Linked DNA regions of Caenorhabditis elegans. The protein of the gene in region 1 interacts with the protein of each later gene in a pairwise test. Each region holds a gene or a part of one and is shown in the gene's direction. Other genes may lie near its edges. The genes, in order: lin-2, gldi-4, hif-1 and lin-10.

What was found.
Region 2: the proteins of lin-2 (region 1) and gldi-4 interact in a two-hybrid assay, tested with the Caenorhabditis elegans proteins (3 studies listed by BioGRID).
Region 3: the proteins of lin-2 (region 1) and hif-1 interact in a two-hybrid assay, tested with the Caenorhabditis elegans proteins (3 studies listed by BioGRID).
Region 4: the proteins of lin-2 (region 1) and lin-10 interact in binary tests that used the Caenorhabditis elegans proteins (3 or more experiments, as listed by UniProt).

What each region holds. Positions count from the first base shown.
Region 1 is NC_003284.9:12,410,965-12,416,053, reverse strand, and holds the start of lin-2 (Protein lin-2), read left to right. Parts: upstream 1-2,012; 5' UTR 2,013-2,028; coding exon 2,029-2,102; intron 2,103-2,153; coding exon 2,154-2,266; intron 2,267-3,068; coding exon 3,069-3,252; intron 3,253-4,541; coding exon 4,542-4,637; intron 4,638-4,684; coding exon 4,685-4,767; intron 4,768-4,815; coding exon 4,816-4,991; intron 4,992-5,089. UniProt on the Caenorhabditis elegans protein: May play a structural role in the induction of the vulva. May be required for the localization of signal transduction molecules (such as let-23 receptor) to either the basal membrane domain or the cell junctions.
Region 2 is NC_003282.8:7,015,880-7,020,849, forward strand, and holds gldi-4 (ZZ-type domain-containing protein), read left to right. Parts: upstream 1-1,746; 5' UTR 1,747-1,785; coding exon 1,786-1,987; intron 1,988-2,595; coding exon 2,596-2,819; intron 2,820-2,870; coding exon 2,871-3,941; 3' UTR 3,942-3,955; intron 3,956-4,001; 3' UTR 4,002-4,331; downstream 4,332-4,970.
Region 3 is NC_003283.11:20,778,457-20,785,901, forward strand, and holds hif-1 (Hypoxia-inducible factor 1), read left to right. Parts: upstream 1-1,950; 5' UTR 1,951-2,045; coding exon 2,046-2,065; intron 2,066-2,858; coding exon 2,859-3,049; intron 3,050-3,175; coding exon 3,176-3,330; intron 3,331-3,375; coding exon 3,376-3,690; intron 3,691-4,015; exon of another isoform or gene 4,016-4,079; coding exon of another isoform or gene 4,080-4,112; intron 4,113-4,207; coding exon 4,208-4,766; intron 4,767-4,869; coding exon of another isoform or gene 4,870-5,072; intron 5,073-5,281; coding exon 5,282-5,609; intron 5,610-5,679; coding exon 5,680-5,936; intron 5,937-6,016; coding exon 6,017-6,189; intron 6,190-6,237; coding exon 6,238-6,405; 3' UTR 6,406-6,804; downstream 6,805-7,445.
Region 4 is NC_003279.8:8,116,152-8,121,178, reverse strand, and holds the start of lin-10 (Protein lin-10), read left to right. Parts: upstream 1-1,864; 5' UTR 1,865-1,865; coding exon 1,866-2,016; intron 2,017-2,661; coding exon 2,662-2,900; intron 2,901-3,499; coding exon 3,500-3,589; intron 3,590-3,797; coding exon 3,798-3,849; intron 3,850-4,312; coding exon 4,313-4,536; intron 4,537-5,027. UniProt on the Caenorhabditis elegans protein: Required specifically for the determination of 3 vulval precursor cell fates P5.p, P6.p and P7.p during late second and early third larval stages; required for basolateral localization of receptor tyrosine kinase let-23.

The sequences.
Region 1 (5,089 bases):
ACAGGTGTTCATCGTGTTTATCTTGCAAACTCACCCAACCGACACTCATAAAACTGTGTATCTCTGGAGACTGGGAGAGATAACATCCACTTTCTACTCTTTGTCGAGCCTCTTTCATCCAGTTTTTTTCCGGTGTCAAAAAAAACTTCATATTTTCTTTTTTTTCATATTTATTCGTTTTTTCTTTCTGCTTTGAGATTTTGTCATATCTTACAAATCCAAGAAAAAAAAAAGAAAAATGTAATATCTTTCCTTCATCCCTTCCTTTTTATGTAGTTATTTATGTCTTCTTCTTTAATTAAATTTGTTTTTTCTTCTTATTTCCCATTATTTTGCTAACACCTTATTTGTTGAATATTCGATGGAGAGACTAATAATTGAACATTTTTGCATCCCAATTTTTCACAAAGCTAATATTTCGCGGTTTTTGATAGTTGTTTAAGACTGGGATGTATAGTTGGTGTTTCAATTTTGTCTACTCAGTTTTTTTTTCAATTTAAAATTGTTTTTGAAACAAAAACGTAAAAACCATTACATAAAAGTTTATAAGTAATTTAAAAGTTCCATTAAAAACAAAAAATAACCATGGTATAATCAGAGTATACATATATTGGGCATTTCAGAAGCAATAACTTCCAAATAACTTCAATGTGAACTGGAATATATGTAGTGACAAAATGCGAAATACTTAAATTGTGTAAGAGTTTAGTGTATACAGATTAAAATAAACTGACAAACTAAAAAAAAATTATAAAAGTATATATATATATGTCAAAAATTTGAGACTAGTAGTAACCTTAACAGTAAACATATTTTCAGCATGTTTTTGGTATAGCTCTGCACAAAATGGTAGTTTTATGAAATTATTGTGCTCAATGTTATTTCCTTGAAATAAATCTCGATTATTTTTTGAATAGTTACACTTTTTGGTTGAAGTTATTGCACCAAATGGAAATGAATTTTTCAAAAAGTTTTAAGTAGACGTATGAAACGGAAATAAAAAGAGTATGCAGAAAAAGATGCAAACCGAAATTGTTTGAAAAAAAAAACTTTAAAAAATGGCTTTGTTAGCCTTAAAGGAGTTATTGTTTTGAGCATTAGAATTAGATCCCAAGTCATTTGAGAACGTAGGAAAATCAAAATGTAGGTTTCTCTATGTAATTGATCGTAGTAAAACCCATGCACGTAATTGCTTCTATTACATTACATTACGATTTTCATATCAAATAATTTTTTTTCAGCATCTCTCAAACTTAAAGTTTAGTGTTTTGAAAAGATTTCAAATCTGTTTACTGTTTTTGTTACAAATACATCTGGCTAACCCGCCAACTTTGAATAAACACGATACTATTCCGGCAAATTCAGGAATGTTTGCTAAATGACAAATACAGCCGCGTTTCAATAGGAAACTAGAGGTGGAAAAGATGAAAAGTGTCCATATTTGTCTTGATTTCCTCTGCCATGCCGCAATCAAACTTTCTTTCACATAGTTGTTCTGCTTCAATAATTTAAGATTGGATGGTTTGATTTTGCATTTTGCAGAAAATATTATGTTATAAACAAGAAAAAATCCTAAGTTTAACGATTTCCGTCCCCCACGCACTCAAGTTCATTAAAATTAATGACGTAATGCTTACCTCTTTTTATAAGACCGCAACATGAGATTTTCCATCAGACAAGTACCACCTCAAATCCTCAATTTTTTAGTTCTCGAAAGAATGTTGCGGGGTTGATAAAACATGAATCTCTCTTGCAATCATTTATTGACATTATATCTCCTCCTAACGATCAAATCAAATTGGCCGAAAGAAAACGCGTAGAGCCCCCCCCCCCCCCCCCGCCGCCGACCCAAAAAACTGCCATTTTCTCTCCAGTCTCTCTATTTCAATATTCATGCGAGCCTGATATGCTTTTTCAATTTAATAATCATTCACTGTCCCTATGAGTTTTTTTCTGGTTATCTCTTTTTTTTCTTCAACTTTATCATTTGTTTATTCACGTTTATCAGCATTTTTCAGCTAAAACAGAATGAGGGAGCTTGACCCGGACGAGTCGAACCTTCTCCTCGATGAACAACTGTCGATCCGGGATGTGATAGAACAGTAAGATTTTTGAAAATTCAGTTAATTCTTGAAATAACTAAGAATTTCCAGAGGTCCATTTTCAAATGTATACCGAATACTTCATGGACCATCAAATCGAAAATTTTTACTGAGATCAATCAATTTGAATTTGTTCAGACAGCACACCGGGTTAGGATTTGAAGGTACAATTATTGTTATACAGTTGTTACATGGGGTACGACTACATGTAGTAGTCGTATTCCAAAAAAATTCTACGCACCTACTAAAATGATTTGTTCAATTCAAAAGTTGAAGCAGTGTACTTTTGTAGTAGCTGTAGTTGCTCTACTATACAAGTATCAAAAATAGTTTTCTCCCATTTTGATAAAGTCTTTTTTTAATTTTGGTTTTTTGTCTTTACAAAAATTGATAGGTTTTTGTAATGTTAATCGATCTAGTGATGAACTAATATCTTTCGAAAGGAGGCTCAAATGCAGTTAAAAAAAAGTTAATTAGAATAAAAATATCCAATTTCATTGGTTTTCATCCAAATACCATTGAGACCGTTAAAGAAAAGTTTCAACATTTTAAAAACAGGAAGTCATCGTTTCAACACACTGTCTCACAAAAGACTGAATTATTAGTTTTTGATGTTTTTTTTCGAATTGAACAAATTCAGGTGGTTAATACACTTTTTTTTTAAAGTTATGTTTTGACCTTTATTGTGGATTTTGAAGAATAAAAAATTTCTCAAAAAACAACCTGAGTGCACTTTTAAAAATTGAGAAAAAAAAAGTCCCCGCAGCGGATATTATTATTCTCGCCACCAGTTTTCCAATCAGAAGCGCACAAAATGTCCTCAAAGTTCTCATCTCATGAGCTCAGCAGCTCCAATCCCAATTCATCAATCAATCTATCAGCCATCATGTGTCATTTCGAACTTTGATCATTTTACCGAATCCGATCTAAATATAATTATTTCATTCCAAACCATCTCTTTTTCAGAAATCGACGAGGAAATTAGAATATGCCAAAATCTACAGCACCCTTACATATGCCGACTGGAAAAAACTATCAACAGCGTTCATTATCGACATATCATTTTTGAGAACATGGAGGGAAATGATATTTGTTTTGAAATAGTTCAAAGAGCAAGTAATGGATTCGTATTTTCTGAATATGTAGTAAGGTTTGTATTTTTACAATATAGACTGTGTGTCACGGCGTGTAAATTGGGACATCTGGCCTAGCGAAAAGTGAAAAGTGAGAATCCTAGGCCATGGCCGCTGCAAAGCGCGCGAAATTTGAATTTAAATTTTTAATATCATTGAAATTCGATGAATGAGACATTATAATGGATAAAACTGCAAAAATATATACAAAATTGTTTTTAAAATGGATAAATCACATATAACAACGATTATTTTCCTAAATAAAAGTGGAAATTCGATTTATTAGGCAATTATTAGGAAAATTCGACAAAAATGGCACATTTTTGAACTTTTTTCAAAAACTAGATCCACAAATTTTCTGAAATTTCACCAGATTACTCAGTAGACTACTTTAATCAAATTGTGTGCAAAAAATTCATACCCACCGTCACAAGTTCCTATTGAATTTTTCTATTTTAGCTCCGAAAACCACTAAAATTCGACAAAAATGGCACATTTTTGAACTTTTTTCAAAAACTAGATCCACAAATTTTCTGAAATTTCACCAGATTACTCAGTAGACTACTTTAATCAAATTGTGTGCAAAAAATTCATACCCACCGTCACAAGTTCCTATTGAATTTTTCTATTTTAGCTCCGAAAACCACTAAAATTCGACAAAAATGGCACATTTTTGAACTTTTTTCAAAAACTATGCCCACAAAGTTTTTGAAACTTCACCAGTTTACTCGGTAGAGCATTTCAAACAAATTATGTGCATAAAAACCATACCCACCGTCACAAGTTCACATTGAATTTTTCAATTTTAGCTCGGAAATTCACAAAAAATCAGTGAAATTGGCACCAATTTGAAATTTTTTCAAAAACTAGATTCACAAAGGTTTTGAAACTTCACCAATTGACTAAATGAAGGTTTTTGAACAATTTAAGTACATAAAATGTATACCCACCATCACAAGTTTACACTTAAAATTGCTGTTCATTAATGCAGTTCTTCAAACTGCCTTGTTTCGTTTTCTGCGTAGTTCACTTTTTTTTGTATTTGAATTTAATGTAATTTTAGTGTTTCTTTTATTCTTTTCCAAAAAGATAATGCATTTTTTGCTTGAATTCAAGGATATTTTCATATAAAACGAAACCGGGAAGTATTAATTGCTAAAATTTATGTGGACTACGGTAGTCAAGTCCGCAAACACCACGCGCATTTTCATAATTGCGTACATTTGTTTTTCAAGCTTTTTTCTAGGCCAGAGGTACCAATTTACACGCCGTGTGTGTGTAAAAATAATTAGCATAAATTTTTCAGTCACTATACACGGCAGCTCCTAGATGCTCTAGATTACTGTCACACTAGGAAAATTGTTCATAGAGATGTACGGCCTCACAATTTAGTATTAGCGTCGTAAGTTAATTAATATAGAAAAACAACAGTTCAATGTGAACTTTCAGAAAAGATACTTCAGCTCCACTGAAACTGTGTGGATTTGGAGTTGCAAAAGATTTGTCTGAAATTGGTGGTTCAATGGCTTGTGGTATGACTCGTTTTTCAAATGTGCATTCATATAATTTCGAATTTGAAGGTCGAGTAGGTGTACCGCAATTCATGGCTCCAGAGATAGTGCGAAAAGATCGAGTGTCATGCTCGTCGGATATCTGGTCTTCCGGTGTCGTCCTTTTTCTCTTGCTAGCTGGACGATTACCTTTCTCCGGGTCTACTTCCGATATCTATGAAAGGATCATGCAAACAGATGTAGATGTGAGGTTTTTTCGAATAATTTTTCTGGTTGCGCAAGAGAATCGGTTAAAAGCAAAAAAATCGATACAACATAGTTTTTTACATACCAATTAACATTT
Region 2 (4,970 bases), on another chromosome or scaffold:
GCTGCAAAGAAAGCAGATTTTGATCGTCTCATTGGAATTCATCCAACTGTCGCGGAGAACTTCACCACGTTGACTCTTGAAAAGAAGGAAGGAGATGAGGAATTACAAGCTTCTGGTTGCTGAGGTTAAGAAGGGTCCAATTTGGGGGAGAATTTGGGTTTTGGAATGAAATGAACATTGATTTTATTTAGGATCTCTTTTTTAAAATATGAATTCAAAAAAAAAAACAAATAAACCTAAAATCTCAATGTCATTTTATTTCATCACCTACTCTCTTCAAAATTGGACCGTCGGTGGTCGCTAGTAGAGGCAGCTTTGTGACGACCTTTGGCTAAACTCCATCGTGAGCGCCTCTGGTCTGATGCGCCTCCAAAACGTCCACCACCCCTGATGATTTGTTTATTATAGTTTGCATTGTATTTTCGAATCTTCAGGGTTGTTTGTTCTTGACAATTGCCAATTTTTCTAAGCGAAAAGTTTGATTTAATTTTATTCTACTTGGCAATTTTCAAAAACGAACAATTATTCTCTTATCCAGTGTTTAAGTATGTCCTCTCACTTTTTTTTCAATTTCAATCCCGTACTTCTTCCCTATTTTTGGGTAAATCCAAGCCTTTTTCACTCTCTCTCTTAAATGCAATATTGTTTGGTCATTTTACCTTTTATTGTATGTGTTGTAAAAATAAATTGTATTTTACACCGAAAAATGTCCAATTCAGTGATATCATTATGCATGCACATCTTCCGCGTACGACAGCTTTTCCGCGTGATTTTCTGTGTTTTCTCTGTTTCTAGGCGCTCTCCAAATTTACTTTATATTTTTCCAAAATTCTATCTCGTTTTTGAATACACATATGTAAAACCGAAATAGAATGAAAAATTGGGAGACGGAGAGAGGAAACGAAAACAGAGAGAGAAAGAGACGGAGAGGAGAAAAGGCAAATGAAGGTTGCAATCTGTTTTTACACTTTATATTTAGTCTTTGTTCATTTCGAAATTAAACGCAGGCAGGCGCAGGCGGCCGATTGGAATTTCACGTCAATCCTTCCAAACTAGGTGCTTTTGGTAAATCCTGATTTTCTCTGTGCACAGAAGTTAAATTGTTGTTTATAAACTTCATTTTCTACCAAAAATTAACAAATCTGTAAATATTTGCCCCTATAACGATAATTTTAACAGAGATCGCGGCGAGACCCTCTCAAAAAACAGCGTGTGCCTTTGAACTGTCGCCGAAAAATTATTGTAAATTGTGATTCGTCATTTTGCAAGATGAGTCACTTTGAATAAAATCGTTTCAGCAAAAATGGGGGAATTTTTTACGGGAGAAAAAAAGTCCACAGATTCTCCAGTTATGGTTCATTTCTAATAATAATAGCCCAAACTTAATACCTCATAATCCAATTGACCCTTGTACCCCCGGACAAGTGGGCACACGCTTATCGATTTCTATTTCGAGGTACCACTCATTTCCGCGCGGGGAACACTTTTGTCTCTGAGTCTCCTACTTCTCCTTGCTCTTTTCCCAAACGTTCTTGGCAGAAGAACCTCTATGCATATATATCTTCAATGTTTATAATGCCATTTTCTGTTAGGTTTATAAATATCTTACTCGCAACCTCTCTCTAAAAAACAGGCAAAGAAATTATGCGAAATAGAAATTGCACACTGTTTCAAAATATGTATTAATGTTTCCTTAATTTTTCTCTCATATTGAACTATTTCTAGAACTTCGATAAATAATTCCAGAAACTTGGTATAACTTGATAACTTCCAATTGTCATCCCAATGATACCTTTGTGCCGTGAACATAACAAAACATGCCGTGTCAAGGTTAACTATCATTGGCGTGTATACAATGAGGATATCAACAAGAATGCTGTATTGGAACTCTCATGTCAATGTCAAGTCCTCGATCAACTCAGAAAAACGTTCGTCGAGTTGGGATCTTCCACCATCCATTCGGCTGCTGATTTTGAGTTTAGCTGCAGTAAGTTTTTTTTTAAATGAAATTTAGATGCACAGTGCCTGCGCGAATTTCATTGGTTATTTTAGGTTTTCCAGATACTATTCGAGTTGTTCAAAATAGTATAACACAATAATCAATATGTCCAACAAAATTTGATCAACTGAAAAATTATAATTATGAAAAATTGAATTTTATCTACGCTTCCGTTTTTCTATGAAAAGAAGTTACATCGGCTGACAAGATTTTTGAAGCATTTGGATGTGATTTGACCTGTCTAAAAATTGAGTTTTTGATGTTTCAAAACTATTGTTGTTGCACACACAGTTGACAAAAAACAAAGTAGAACAATAGAGGTTATAGGGAAAATATATCGTTTTATCAAATTTAATCTGAACCCAACCGCAGGTTGCTGTAACTTTTTCCAAAGAATTTATGATAATTTGTTTGATAACATAATTTTAGAAATCGTTAAGAGCAAAATTTTGTTAGTTGAAAATTTTCAAATCTAAATGAGCTAGTATTTGAGTTGTGCTCACTTTAAATAGAAACTACAAAAAAAGAAATACGAATAGAGTTTCAGCTGGCACTATATAAAATGTCAGTCATCTTATACCAGATATGATTTTCAGTTACCAAGGATGGCCCTGTAGTTCTGTCCAGTGGCTATGAGATCTACAACAACATTCGCCCGGAATTGAGCTTTTATCATTCTCAACTTCCTCAGCTATTTCTTCATGTCAGAATCTTGGATGTCTCGGTAATTGCCAAGTTGGATGATTTGGGTCGGACTGTGAATGAATGTAAGGCAACGATGAAATCTGACAAGGCATGGAGAGTTATGAAGGATACTGAGGTATTATTTTTCTGATTCGTTTCCCTTGTTTCTAAAAGAAAACTATATTAGATTGCTGAAGGACAACTCTCACTTCAAGAGCTTCTAGACAAGCAACAACTGGAAATCAAATCTCTTCAAAAGGATATTTCCGAAATGAAGCTTGAGAATCAGTGTCGCAAAAAAGAAGACAAAAACTCCTTCAAAAACAAGGAAGTTCACGAGGCTTCATGTGATAAGTGCCAAGATTTGATTATTGGGCATCGATTCAAGTGTGCTATATGCTACAACTACGATTTGTGCGAAACATGTGAAGCTGCCGGAGTTCATGCTCAGCATGCATTGATTCGATTGGTGTCAGAAAATACTTTGTTCCCCGAACATTTGATTGTCAAAAACCCAGAGGAGGTAAAAGATCAAAACGGTCAAGTTCAAGCAATTGCTTCTTCTCGTGACAGAGCTATCCAGGTTCCTTTGAGGAGATTGGGCATAACCCCTCAAGCCATCGCAACAAAGAACAATGTCTCGAGATATTTGAATGCACAAAGTGATCGAAACATTATTGAGGACCCATGGTATGCTCAGCACATGTCTAGCAGGAAACCGCAAACTTATGAAAGAATGCATCCAAAACTGAAAGATACAACTGATGGTAAAAAAGTTCAAAAAGTTTCTTTCCGCGATCGCTTTTACAAGAAAGCAGAATCTAGCCTCGATAAACACGAAAAGCAACTTCGATTCGATCTTTCGGCTTCACGTCAAGAATTCATCAGAGAAAAGGAAAAGTTCAGAGTTGAAAAGGAAACGCTCATGAAACAAAAGGAACAAATTGAAGAGATGATGAAGCAAGAAACTATAAACTTCGAAACGAATAGGGCTTTCTTTTCGGATCGTTTTGAACCGATTTTTAATAAAGTCAAAGATGGAAAGAAAAGCGAAGATGATACTACAAGAAAAGTCGAATTTGAAGTTGAAACTGCTGAGAGCAACTATCCCGGATCTATTTTTTCGGATGAAGATTCTTTGAGTGATCTTGCTGAAATTCTCAAAGACATTGAAGAATATGAGTGTTCGTCTGAGAGCTCTGATGACCAAGAGAAAGACGATTTTGATGTCGTTGAGGAAGAGGCTAAACAATCTTAAACGTATTGTTGAATGTGAGTTATCATCCCTTGGTTCAAAGATATTTATCAACAATTTCAGATAACAAAAACAGAGGATTCAACTTCCATCTTGTACTCTCAACCAGCACTGTAATTCCAATTCAAAAGGACTTTCCAAACGATAATATGCATTTCAATATTCTCATGAATCCTCCAAATATTTAAAAAATTGTTCAAATTGTTCATAACAACTTTCTTATCAAATCAGAAAACTCAGACTGTTTTGCAGAATTGCAAAAATTCAAATATCTAAATTTTTCCATTGTACTGTCTTATCTTTATTTTTTTATTTTTTCTGAAGTCTAAAATTGTAATTTTCCAATTTTGTGAATCTTTTCATTTCGCATTAATAAAATAAATTGAAAATCAGAATTTAGCTTGCCAATATACATAAGAATAGTGAGACAGGGGAGGATAAAAAATTAAAAAAAAAAAAGAATCTTTAATTGTAAAGTCTGTAAACTTTATGAATTCATTTTTAGATTCAAAATTAAAAAATCAGATCTTAAAAAAATGTAAATGTCAAACAAACCTTCTAAAACGACATACGTTTCTACTATTATCCAGAAGATTAATTTCGCGAGTTTCGTCCCAAAAGTACGGTACCGGGTCTCGACACGACAAAAATCGATGAAAATTCTGCTGCAATGAATTTTTGAAGTTACTGTATAAAAGGCGCACATCCGTTTTTCTGGGAGTTTTGTTTGACATCTAGATACTTTTTAGATTTGATTTTAATAGTCGTTTCAAAAAATATCCAGTGCAATGTATCTAAAAGGATTGTTTTTGCAATAGATCCTCGGTTGAACTTTTGTTTTAAAACGAATTGTTCCAGACACACCTTGTTGACTTGAAAATATTTGTCCTTTTTTTTCAAAATAAACTTTGTACTTCTTTTCGTGTCTTTCTGAAATTTTCCATCTATTAATCAGATTGATAAGCTGGGAAAATATATTATTTTCATGTCGTCTGCCAGGTGTCATGTGTGTTTGACACGAGATAACACATG
Region 3 (7,445 bases), on another chromosome or scaffold:
TCTTTAGTTCTCTCACTCTCTCATCTCTTTGGACTCTCTCCAAATCGCACACTATTCAATATGTCTGCCTGCTTGTCTCGTGTCTCCGTGGTTTATGTACTTACTGGGTCAAGAGAGTGTGTTAGATGAGAGGTCTTTTTTTTGGTTTTTCTTCACCTCTCTCAATTTTCAGAGAAAACTCTACTTCTCTAATTCATTTTTTGATCAACGAAGAAATGTTTGGATGCCCATCTTTGGTTTGTAGGCACCGCCCACTAGCTGCTCAGTTTTTCTCTAATGAGAGATTTCAGATTTTCAGAAAATCTATTAATTCTTATAGTTCAAAGGTAACGCTAATAGGTTTGATTTCATTGATCTGTATTTTAAATTTTTATTTAACTCCAATGTCAAAACATAGCTCCTGAACCACATATCGGAAAAAGTTGATCCTTTCCATTATAAAGATATGGACTAAACTCAATTTTCGCTAAATTTAATCAATTATCAGTCACTCTACTTCTCTGTACTCTAGCTTTCCCCCAATTTTTTGTCTAACATTCTGTCAATCGACAGTCTCTGAGAAGTCGTTTTGCCCACTGTCGTTCAATTTCTTGTCTTATCAACATCTTTCTTCTTACATTTTGTCGTCGCCTCCCGCTTGTTGATGATGACTATCTGTTTCCCTCGTTTCATATGACTATTGATTTTATTTAATGTTCCAATAACTTTCGACAATTCTTTATTATATTTTGAGGATTTATATTAATTGTGCACTCTCTTGATGTATCGATATTTTCAATTTCTCGATTAAGCTAAAAAGTGTGATATGAGATGTAAGGACTAGCTTTATTAGACTCAAAACTGTCTGAAAACACCAAATTTCTTAATGAAACTTTTTGAAAACTTCTCAAAAAAATTATGGTGGCTCAAAAAGGACCTAAAATCAGTTAAATTTTAAAATTTGAGCAACTCTCAGCGGCTGAAAACTTATTTTTTTGTCATATTTTGGGCCGCCATAGTTTTTTTGTGTCCTTTTCAAAAATTTAATTAGAAAATTCGGTGTTTTCAGACAATTTTGAGTGTAATAGAGTAATTAAAAATTCGACTACACCGCCTTTAAGTCCAAAGATTGATTGAATCCCGATCTTAACTATTTTATTTGAAATTCACTTGATAATAAGGATAAACTAAAATCACTACACAAACTACCCTTTCTGAACTTGAGTATAGTTATCTTCAAAAACATTATTGTTTACGCTCGGTGAAAACACTACATTCTAGTGATTCCCCTGTTCTTTGACTTACTTCAACTACAATTTTTTCAAAGATTGATCGTAGTTCATTCATAGTTTGATGTTAGTCACCCCCTCAATCTTGCCCCATTCATACCATTGACGTAACATCAATATCCAGATTTATATTTTTGAATCGGGAAAATTTTGCTTTTAATCTTTTTGTGTGCCCTTTTCTCCTTCACTGGCTTATCACATGATTCTTGTAATCAGTTTGTATTCACTCAATATAAAGAAATTGACAATTTTTCTTGAATTGAATTCAGCGAAATTTCCAGTCTACCTAAGTTCTTGTTTTTAGATTTGGGTTTTAAATTGAGCATTTGATCTCTATGATTTGTTTTCTGCAACATTCTTATGATACTTGCCTAACAAATAGTCAATTGTCCATGAAATTGTTACAAATCTTGACGTCCTCTGGGACCCCGTCCAAACAACTGTCACTAACATATCCAATCGATCGTTTTGTGCACCCTTGGTATTTATGATGTTTCAATTTGTCTCACTACACTCTACCCTAGTGCTATAAATCATAACTAAACTTGATTTTTTATTCAAAAGTGTTAACATTCGAAAATCTAACAACCCCTTATGTTCTCAATGATAATTTTAAGAACATTTGATACAATTTTTCTAATTCCCTCTACCCGATTCTATTCAATTTAAAATTGTCATACATTTTCAGCCCACCTGAAAGTTGCCCGTCATTACGGGGAAGTTGCCCCAATCACACCAACCTCAGCTTCACTGAAGCTGCACCTATTCACTATCAAGATGGAAGACAATCGGAAAAGGTAGAGTTAGAATTCTGTTAGAATCGAAATTCATTCTTAAACATTCCATGATTGGATGCCTGAAAACGCTAGAAGTACCGTAGTCCTTTGGGTTTGCTCCATGCTCTGCTCGCAAATGAGAGAGAGGGAGCATTGGCAGAGGTAGATGTATTGAAAATGCGCATTTCCGAATCGAATATCAAATGTGAATCATCTATATAAAATATATCTCGCTCTTTTTAGACACAACTCATTTTTAATCGGAGATGTTAGATAAAGTAAATTATGAAAATAAATTGTGAAATAATTGTGATTGAAGGTGGAGTAGCGCCAGTGGCAGTTTTGCCTAAAAAATACACTTACAATGGCTCGAAACAACCAAAAATCATAATAAAACACTTAAAAATTTTTTAGATTTTTCATAATTTCCGGTCAAAGTTTTGGCAAATGGCCAAAATTTTTACAAACATAAGTATTTGAGGAATGCCGCATGTTCCGATCCCTACTATGCTTCCAAAATTATGAGTGGCAAAAATTGAGTGATTATCATCTAACGGACGGTAAATAAACAATTTCAAAAAATTTTTGACAATTTTTAATTTGATATTCGGTCATTTTAGTACCATTGGATTAGTTTTCAACACTTTCTCCACTGGCTCCTCCTACTCCACCTTTGAAAAAATAAATTTTCCCAGTTATACTTAAAACTAAATTAAATCGAAAAACCTCATGAGAAGTGTACTTATATAGGTATATAATTTTTTGAAATTCACCAATTTTGGGGTGACAAGAAATTCAAAATCAAACTTTTTAGAAACATGGAACGCCGTCGTGAAACATCGAGACACGCGGCTCGTGATCGTCGGTCTAAAGAATCGGATATATTTGATGATCTGAAAATGTGTGTGCCTATTGTTGAAGAAGGTACCGTAACTCATCTAGACCGTATTGCACTTCTTCGTGTTGCCGCCACAATTTGTCGACTGCGCAAGACAGCCGGTAATGGTAAGTGACATCGAATAAAGAAATAGTTGATTCAACATCAAAAATCACTTGAAAATCGTGTTTTATGCTGAGAAAATCGACCAAAAATCACTGCCAATTTTTCTCAAATTAATATTTTTCTTTCAGTATTGGAAAACAATTTGGACAATGAAATCACAAATGAGGTATGGACTGAAGACACCATCGCCGAATGCTTGGACGGCTTTGTTATGATTGTTGACAGTGATTCTTCAATTCTTTACGTCACTGAAAGTGTTGCAATGTATTTAGGATTAACACAGGTGAGCAATAGAAAACTTGCTTCTTTAACATCGATATATTTTCAGACAGATTTAACAGGTCGAGCCCTTCGAGACTTTCTTCATCCATCCGACTATGACGAGTTTGACAAGCAATCAAAAATGCTGCACAAGCCACGTGGCGAGGACACAGACACCACCGGCATCAACATGGTGCTTCGAATGAAGACAGTCATCAGCCCACGTGGAAGATGTCTGAATTTGAAGAGTGCTTTGTACAAATCAGTGTCTTTCCTGGTTCATTCAAAAGTTTCAACTGGTGGACACGTGTCATTCATGCAAGGTATCACAATTCCTGCTGGACAGGGTACAACTAATGCAAATGCATCTGCAATGACAAAGGTGAATATCTGCTTTGAATGTTTCATAGTAAGATTCTAAAGTTTGAACTTTTGATCTTGGGAATTTCTGCTCCTCCTTTCCGCTTCTTGATAAACTGATGGAATTGTGAGACAAAATGTTGAGTAGACGTTACACAATTTCATTTTCTTCTTATTCTTCTGCTCGCTCGAAAAGTTTGTTCTTTTGATCTTTAAAATAGAGAATAGTGCTTTGAGCAAAGCACACTCAGCCGTTGGCACCTCGCGCATAGAAAACAGGATTAGAAAATTGGAGAGAAGTAGAGAAGCACAAGCACATGCAACTTGGCGTCATCTTCTCCTTTTTTGAAGCAGAAGAGAAAACGGAGAAGATGTTACATCTTGTATTGCTGCTCCGTTTGCAAAAGTAAAATGAGCAGGGACTCTGAATACCTAGATAGAAAAGTGAGTCCTAAAGGGCGTGTATATTCGAAAACTTTTTCAAATCAGATTTATAGATGCTATAAGTTTAATAAAAATATAGATGGATTAATTTACAGTACACGGAAAGCCCAATGGGTGCATTCACAACTCGTCACACTTGCGACATGCGCATCACTTTCGTTTCGGATAAGTTCAATTACATCTTGAAAAGTGAGCTGAAGACTCTCATGGGCACCAGTTTCTACGAATTGGTACATCCAGCCGATATGATGATAGTATCAAAATCCATGAAGGAACTTTTTGCCAAAGGACACATCCGTACCCCGTATTACCGGTTGATTGCTGCAAATGACACACTTGCCTGGATTCAAACAGAAGCTACTACAATCACACATACGACGAAAGGACAAAAAGGACAATATGTCATTTGTGTTCATTACGTTCTCGGAATCCAAGGAGCTGAAGAGTCATTGGTAGTTTGCACTGATTCAATGCCAGCTGGAATGCAAGTAGATATCAAGAAGGAAGTGGATGATACAAGAGACTATATTGGAAGACAACCTGAAATTGTGGAATGCGTCGATTTTACTCCATTGATCGAGCCAGAAGATCCATTTGATACGGTTATTGAGCCAGTCGTTGGTGGAGAAGAACCTGTTAAGCAGGCTGATATGGGTAAGTACATGTTTAAGAACGTATTAAAAGTTTGTAATTATACAGTTTGATTCACCTAAGTTTTTTTTATCCAAATTGAATAATTTACGAGGTACGTATATAGGAATTTATTCGGTGACGGATGAGTATGAGCAACGTGTTTATGGGCAAATTTCTGCCGGCAATGATATAGAAGACTGCGATATGGATTCTGATACAGAATCCATAGAAGATTCCGGTTTAGCACCGGAATTCGATGTGGATCTGGCTCCGATTTATAATGAGAAAATGGAAGTTGACGGAGAGGATGAGGACGGCGGAGAGGAGGTACTTTGGGAAATGGGATTATGATTACTAAGTTAAAAAAACAACAGATCGCAGTTTTCCCCTCCGTTGTCCTCATACCTCCGTGAGTTTCTCTTTTTCTTATTTTCAAACTTGTCAAACTTGTCCATGCATGTCGTATTATTTTTTACCCTACGCCTACTCAAAGTTCCATACATTTAGCAAGTGATTTCTTAACGTGTGTATTTCAGGAGCACGTAAGAACAGCTACGATGACGTTTTGCAATGGCTTTTTCGCGACCAGCCAAGCTCTCCGCCGCCGGCACGCTACCGGTCAGCGGACCGCTTCAGGACAACCGAACCGTCGAATTTCGGTTCCGCTCTGGCCTCGCCGGACTTCATGGATTCGTCATCTCGTACCTCCCGACCGAAGACATCATACGGACGAAGAGCACAAAGTCAGGGAAGTCGAACAACTGGATCGTCTTCCACGTCAGCATCGGCCACATTGCCACACAGTGCCAACTACTCGCCACTTGCAGAGGGCATCTCACAATGTGGACTTAACAGTCCCCCGAGGTTAGTTTTTTATACATTTTTCACAATTAGCACGTTGAGCATGTACATGTTTATAATATCCTTGTATCAGTTGCAGTATCAAATCTGGACAAGTCGTGTACGGAGACGCTCGATCTATGGGACGTAGCTGCGATCCGTCCGATTCGTCACGACGCTTTTCCGCCCTTTCACCATCAGATACTCTCAATGTGTCGTCCACTAGAGGCATCAACCCAGTCATCGGAAGCAATGATGTGTTCTCCACTATGCCTTTTGCCGATTCTATCGCCATTGCCGAAAGGATCGATTCGTCGCCAACATTAACCTCTGGCGAACCAATACTTTGTGGTTAGTTTTTTTTAAATGTTCAAATCAATCTCATTCGTGAAAGAAATCAGATAACTTTCAACAAAATGTTTAACTTTCAGACGATCTTCAATGGGAAGAGCCTGATTTATCGTGCTTGGCACCATTCGTTGACACTTATGATATGATGCAAATGGACGAGGGGTTACCACCAGAGCTTCAAGCTCTTTACGACTTGCCTGACTTTACACCTGCGGTACCTCAAGCCCCAGCTGCTCGGCCTGTGCACATTGACGTAAGCCTGTTTTGTTTTTGGCTCCTAACATTATGTTAATTTTTGCAGAGAAGCCCACCAGCGAAGCGAATGCACCAATCAGGTCCCTCAGATTTAGATTTTATGTACACTCAACATTATCAACCATTCCAACAAGACGAGACATATTGGCAAGGACAGCAACAGCAAAATGAACAACAGCCTAGTTCTTATTCCCCATTTCCAATGCTCTCTTGATTATTTTCTACCCCCTCTCAAACTGTTCATTGTTTTGTTTTCAAAAATATACTCTTCATTCATTCAAGTCACACTTCTTATTACTTAATTCTATTGCTCTTTTTAAGAATAATGAGTTTCAAGAATCCTCCCCGATAAATTTTCCCCCATTCCTTTTTCCCTTTCCCTCTGATTTCTTTATTTAGTAAAAAAAAGAAGAATCGTAGTACAAAACGTGTCTATCTGTGTGTCCGTTTGTCCGTTTTTCCCATCTCCATAGTGATAGTTAATTGCATCATTTATACAACGAATCTTCTTATGTTAAGTTTTCTTTTCATTTTTTCACAATGCTCTCGTCTCATTCATTTTCAAAATTCTGTCCGTCTTCGTTTTCTTCTCGATAAAACCTTTTTGGTTTGATCATCTTTTTAAAACTTTACAAAAAGCACTATTACAGAGTTTAGCATTCATTTTTGTGGAAAATATCTGAAATTTTGAGGTATGAGCTTGTAAAGTGAAAACGCGTCTAAATCTATTCGTCTTGATTTACAAATTACTTCAAACGTACGATCTTCCTATTAGACTTTCACTTCTTAGTAGTACTGCACCTCGAACACCTTCTAAAATTTAGACTGTTTATTTTGAAATGTTTTTTTGCAAAATTACAACAAGGCTAGGATTATTGCATTTTTGTTCCAATTAACCACAATTTTGCAAAATGTCTTTCAGAAACAGTTGTTCTTGTAAATGAAAACATGGAATCCTAAACAAAAAAGGCGTATGAAAATTAGTATTGCACAACCTAGTTGTAATGCATTCGCTTTGAAAAATAGTATTGCATTCATATTAATAGATAATGAATACATATACGCATCAGACCTCCGGTTTTTTTTGTGGAAAAAGCGAAAAATGAAAAATTTTCTTACTTTTTTCTGTTTTCCAATTATTCGGTTTTTCGATTTTTCGGTTTTGCACAAGAAAAACTAAAAAATGGTCATGCAATAGTCAATGTTGAAAACTGTCAGTTTCAATAATTTCCGACAATCGGGGGTTTTATGCAA
Region 4 (5,027 bases), on another chromosome or scaffold:
TAGTGCCAAACTTCTCAACATTTTTTAACTTTGAACTAACTTTGAACGGAATTTTCGGCTTGAACTCTAATCTCAAAATTGAAAAGTTTACTTTTTTGCCATCTATTCCGCAATAACAGTAAACGTGAAATTATTCACACTTTTTTCCATCTTTATATACTCTCTCGTTCATCTACCAGTTTTGTATTGTCCATTCGTCCATCACAAATTCCCATTCATCCCGTCATCTGGTGTATTCTTTCCGTTTTTGATACTTTTTTGTCTGTGCCCTGGAAAAGAGTTGGATGGAAAGAGAGAGTGAAGGAAAACGATGGAAAAGAGCAGAATTAGCATAATTATGACACTTTTTCTCTCGCCTCTTCCCTATTTTTCTCAACCCCGCGCTGCTCGAATGAGAAACGTCTCGAATAGGTTTTAAAGCTTCAACTTTTTACTGTTCTAATGTTTTCATTTATTTCCAAGAATTTAGTTGATCATTCACGATTCCCATGGCTTAGGTCAAAAATTAGAAATACTTTGCGGAATTCTATCACAATGCAGTTATATTTTCACATTTTTAGAACTTGTCCTAAAATACAAGAAGTTATCTTTATTTTCAACATCTGGAAAAAATTCGTTTTCAACATCTAAAGCGACAATTGGAAAATTGTCAATTGAAAGTCATTTAGTTAGCGGCTTACATTAATACAATTGTTTGGTTAAACATATTTTTCAAACGCCCTCAAAAGTCCAAAAAGCACTCGATATTTTGGAGATTAGCAAGCACGGCATAAAAGAAACAGCAAAAAAAGAAAACGACACGTGTCATATATTTGGCTGAGAAAGTAGGGATTAGAGTGTCGAAGAAACATGACAAATGAATTGGCATTCAGAAGACGTGCATACATGGCACGACATATTGCTTCGGGAACTCCTTACACTGCATTTTTTGGTTTCCTCAATGTATATTTTGTTTCACGATCAGTCTCCGCTTGTTGTTCTTTTTTCTTATGCTCCAGTGGGAAAAATGTTAAAAACTACACCTATAGTGCACCCATGATGAAAATATCATTCTAACACTTTCCAACATTTTTTGAAAATGTTATATTTACATTAATAGCAATTAATCAGTTTCCACCTATCATAATTGGTCCAATACATTGTTTAATTTTAAGTTCGCTTCAATTATTTACAAGTGAACCTAGAACCTAGGTCTTCGCATTTGCAGCATTGCTCTAAATTAATGAAAAACTCCAATTTTTTTAATTGGCAATTTACCAACATTTTCATTTGAAAGTATTTTATTTAGATATAATAATAATAATAATTTATTACGCTCGCTGGGAGACGTGAAGGAATACAGAATACAAAAGTTATCATTGTTCGCTTGTACTAGAATTGGTGCAGTCGGGCAATTGTTTCCATTCCATTAGAATGTTGTCCTTGTCCTTGCGTTGTCCTTGCGTAGACTCCCCCATAGTGGGCGAGCGATTCCCGAGTGAAAATATGTAGATTTTTAGATATGTAGATATGTAGATATGTAGATTTTTTACTACATAATTGTAAGTCTGTGTAGATTCGAACTCCATGTTGTGTTACAGTACTTCCGAACACGATCTTAAAACTTTTTGAGCATCTCCCATTTTCTCATTTTAGGAAAAAATTTAACTTATAACTTCGAGGTGACAATTGTTAATTCTAAATTTTCCCACGTTAACTCTCTCTCTGTCTGCTTCTCTCTTGTCCCTCTTCTTCATCGCTCTAATTAATTCGCGTGTGAGACGAGAGAAGAGCATCCAATAATCCATGTCCTTTTCCCGCTTCCTCTCTCTTTCCCTCATCTTCCTATCTATTTTCCATCGGACCATGAACAATTCTGTTGCAGGATGTCATCTGAAGCAGTAGCACAAGCCACAGCCGCCACGACGTCTCCTGAACACGGGGTCCCCACATCATCGGCCACGCCTACTCCTCCGCCGAGCAAAGGGGGTGGAGCCGGTGGTGGTGGGGGAGGAGAGCAACAACAAGTCCCATTTCGTTAGTTTTACAAGAGATTTTGAATTAAAGTGTAAACAAATATACCAGACTTCAAGTTTTTTGAGTGTCATTTTTCAAATTTAGATGGTGTGTTTAAATATTCCCGGATCTTCAAAAATCTGATGTTTAGATATTTGAAAAAGCAAGACAAAATCAAATCAGTTAAAAAAAATATGAAAAAAACACAATAACACAGAAAAAAGGCTCTGAAATCCAGATAGGTTCAGTCTGATTTGCCAGCCCTAGTAAGACTATATTAACTTTTCGTAAGGAATTGCTCCTTCGTTTTGGTCAACCTTTCCTCAAATATTTTCACTCGAAGAATAAGAAAAAATAGAGGGGATATTATTGTTTTTCGAACCTTCTCGATTAAAAATTCCCTGTCTTCTCCTCTTCTTCTTATTTTTCCCCGCCGCCGCCTGACCACAAAAATAGGCTATTATTCATATGGCTGGACGTCTTTCATGTTGCCTTCCCTACAAAAATCTATTTTACACGGAAGTATAAGAAAATATTTTAAATATATTGCACTAGGAAACTTCTGTGCACAGAATGAAAATGTATGACATTGGTTATTTATATTTGCTTACTTAACACAATTAAAATAGGAAAAGCTTGTTCTTCAATATATTCGATTTTTTACAGAAATGATCCCTCCTGGTCATTTTTTCGCAAATCCCTTCTTGAATCCGTATATTCCAACAGCGGGTGCTCCTGCTCAGGAGGGTGAAGCTCAACCTCAGATGGTATTCTCTCCAGCTCAATATCAGGAAGTCATGCATCATTATTTTCAACAAATGATGGCCGCGAGTGGAGCACAGTTTCCGATTCCGTTTCCCATGCAATTTCAGCCGGCTCTTCAACAGCCAAGACCTTCTTCTCAGGTTTGTTTTATAAAGCGTTATTTTACAAAAACAATTGAAACACTGTCAATTTTTCATTAGAAGCAGTTTTTAAAACTGGGGTTGATAAGCTTTAAAAAAATGAAGGAAATGACATTAGTCATCAGAAAATGTATGTTTCGCAATTTTGGAACATTGTTGTACAACTAGAAAAGTTGCGAAATTTATTTTTGCAGAAAGAACTATTTTTAGAGCTCTCGAAATTGTTTTATTCACAATAAAAACATGTGAACTGGAAAAACCATATAATTTTCTGATTTGGCGAATTTGCCACAATATAATAACCTAAGACATTACATGCTTATTGGATGTTTGATGATGCATGGCTGACACCCGCTCGAGGCGTGTGAGAGGCGCCTCCGTCACTCTCTGCCGGCTAGAAATTCTAATTTTGATGTAACCTAGTCAAGCTCACAAGAAGTTCACAAATTCTTATTACAAAGTTATGCTTCTGCATTGATGCAGAACAGTATTTGATATTTCTAGACATTGAAATAGATCTAGAAATATATTACCAAAAGCAATGCATTTATGGCTCCCAAAATTCTCATCTGCACTTCATAACCTTCAAGTATTCTCAGGCATCATCATCTCATCGCTCAGAAGACGATAACGGAAGGCAGACAGCTGGCAGTGTTGTGTCCTCTAATGTGTCACCAAATCATCGAGAGGTTCGTTTACGGCAGAGCCCAAACACTTGAACTCACAAGCAAAACGCTGGAAATTAGGCGAAGTGATGACTTGGGGAGCTTCTTCATGTTCTTCCTGTAGCTCTAAAATAAATAAATGTGGTTCGGGAATTTAAAAGATAAAATTTTAAAAAATGTTCATTAAAATATACTTCTAGTTTAGAAATCAAACTCAGTCTTTAATTTTTAGGTGAGACCAGCAGAAGATTCTACGGAAACAAGCGGCGTTGTTCAAAATAATGGTTAGTTGGTTTTTCACTTTTAGAAATTCAGGCCAAATGCCAGAAGATCAGTCATTATCTCAAACGTTTGGCGTACAGTTTTCACAGAACGTATTAAGTTTCCTTCTTCGTCTAGTGGAATGTAAAACTCCAACTTTAAAAATTTCGAATAAATTGCATTTTCCAAAAGTTCTTCAGAAAATCTTCAAAAAAGATCCAGCATGTATCTCATTTGTCACAAGTGAGCATGTAACACGAGAACATTTTGGTGAGAAGAAGAGACAAGAGAGATATCTCTGCGTCTCTTATCATCTCACACTCTCTCTTTTTGCTCAGCCGATTTACTAATTGTTCCATGTCCGAAAGGAGTTGTACGTCTCCCACCATCATGTCTGGACGGAACTTAGAGACCACACGAAAAGTTGAAGGGATTTCCCCTGAACATTTTTCTAATTGTCAATTTTCAAACCTAAATATGTTTCAGATGAGCTTCTTGTACCAACTTCCACGTCATCCGATGTGACAATTGGTGACGTCATCGAAAAATCAGATTCTCCTGAAAATTCGCAAGAATCAGCGGGAGGAGAGGAGAAAAGTGAAGAAAAGCGGAAATTATCCGGTGATCGAACGGATTCACTCATTCGAAAACAAATGAGTGAAATGGAAAAAGAGATAACACGACGATCACAGAATAAAAATATTAAAACGGTATGTCGTTCGGTTTCGGAATTTTGAGAATTAATTCTTGAAAAAAAAAAGTTTTTCACTGAAATCTATGATCAAAGTTCCTAAAGCCAAATGTGAAAAACTCAATTTATGGAGTCACATAGTATGCGCATAGAATGTGCAAGAAACCTCCAACTTTCCCAAAAATAACAACTGTTTTCGAATATTTGGAATATGCCAAAACTTTGACACAAATTTTTGAAAAAACCTGAACATTTTTGGCTGTTGTTTTATTTCGATAGACCTTTTTTCTTTTAGACCTTTCTACATGTTTTGGCAAAATTTCCACTGGCGCTACACCACTTTTAAACAATAAGCATTAGACCATTAGAACTGTGAACTTTAGATATCGAGGCCAACAAAAATTCGAATATTTTTCCCTTTGGAACAATTGTCTCTTTCTGCACATCCTCGTAACAAATCAAATAATCTAATTTTTGTCTATCTACAACTCTCTTTTTCTACTAAATCTT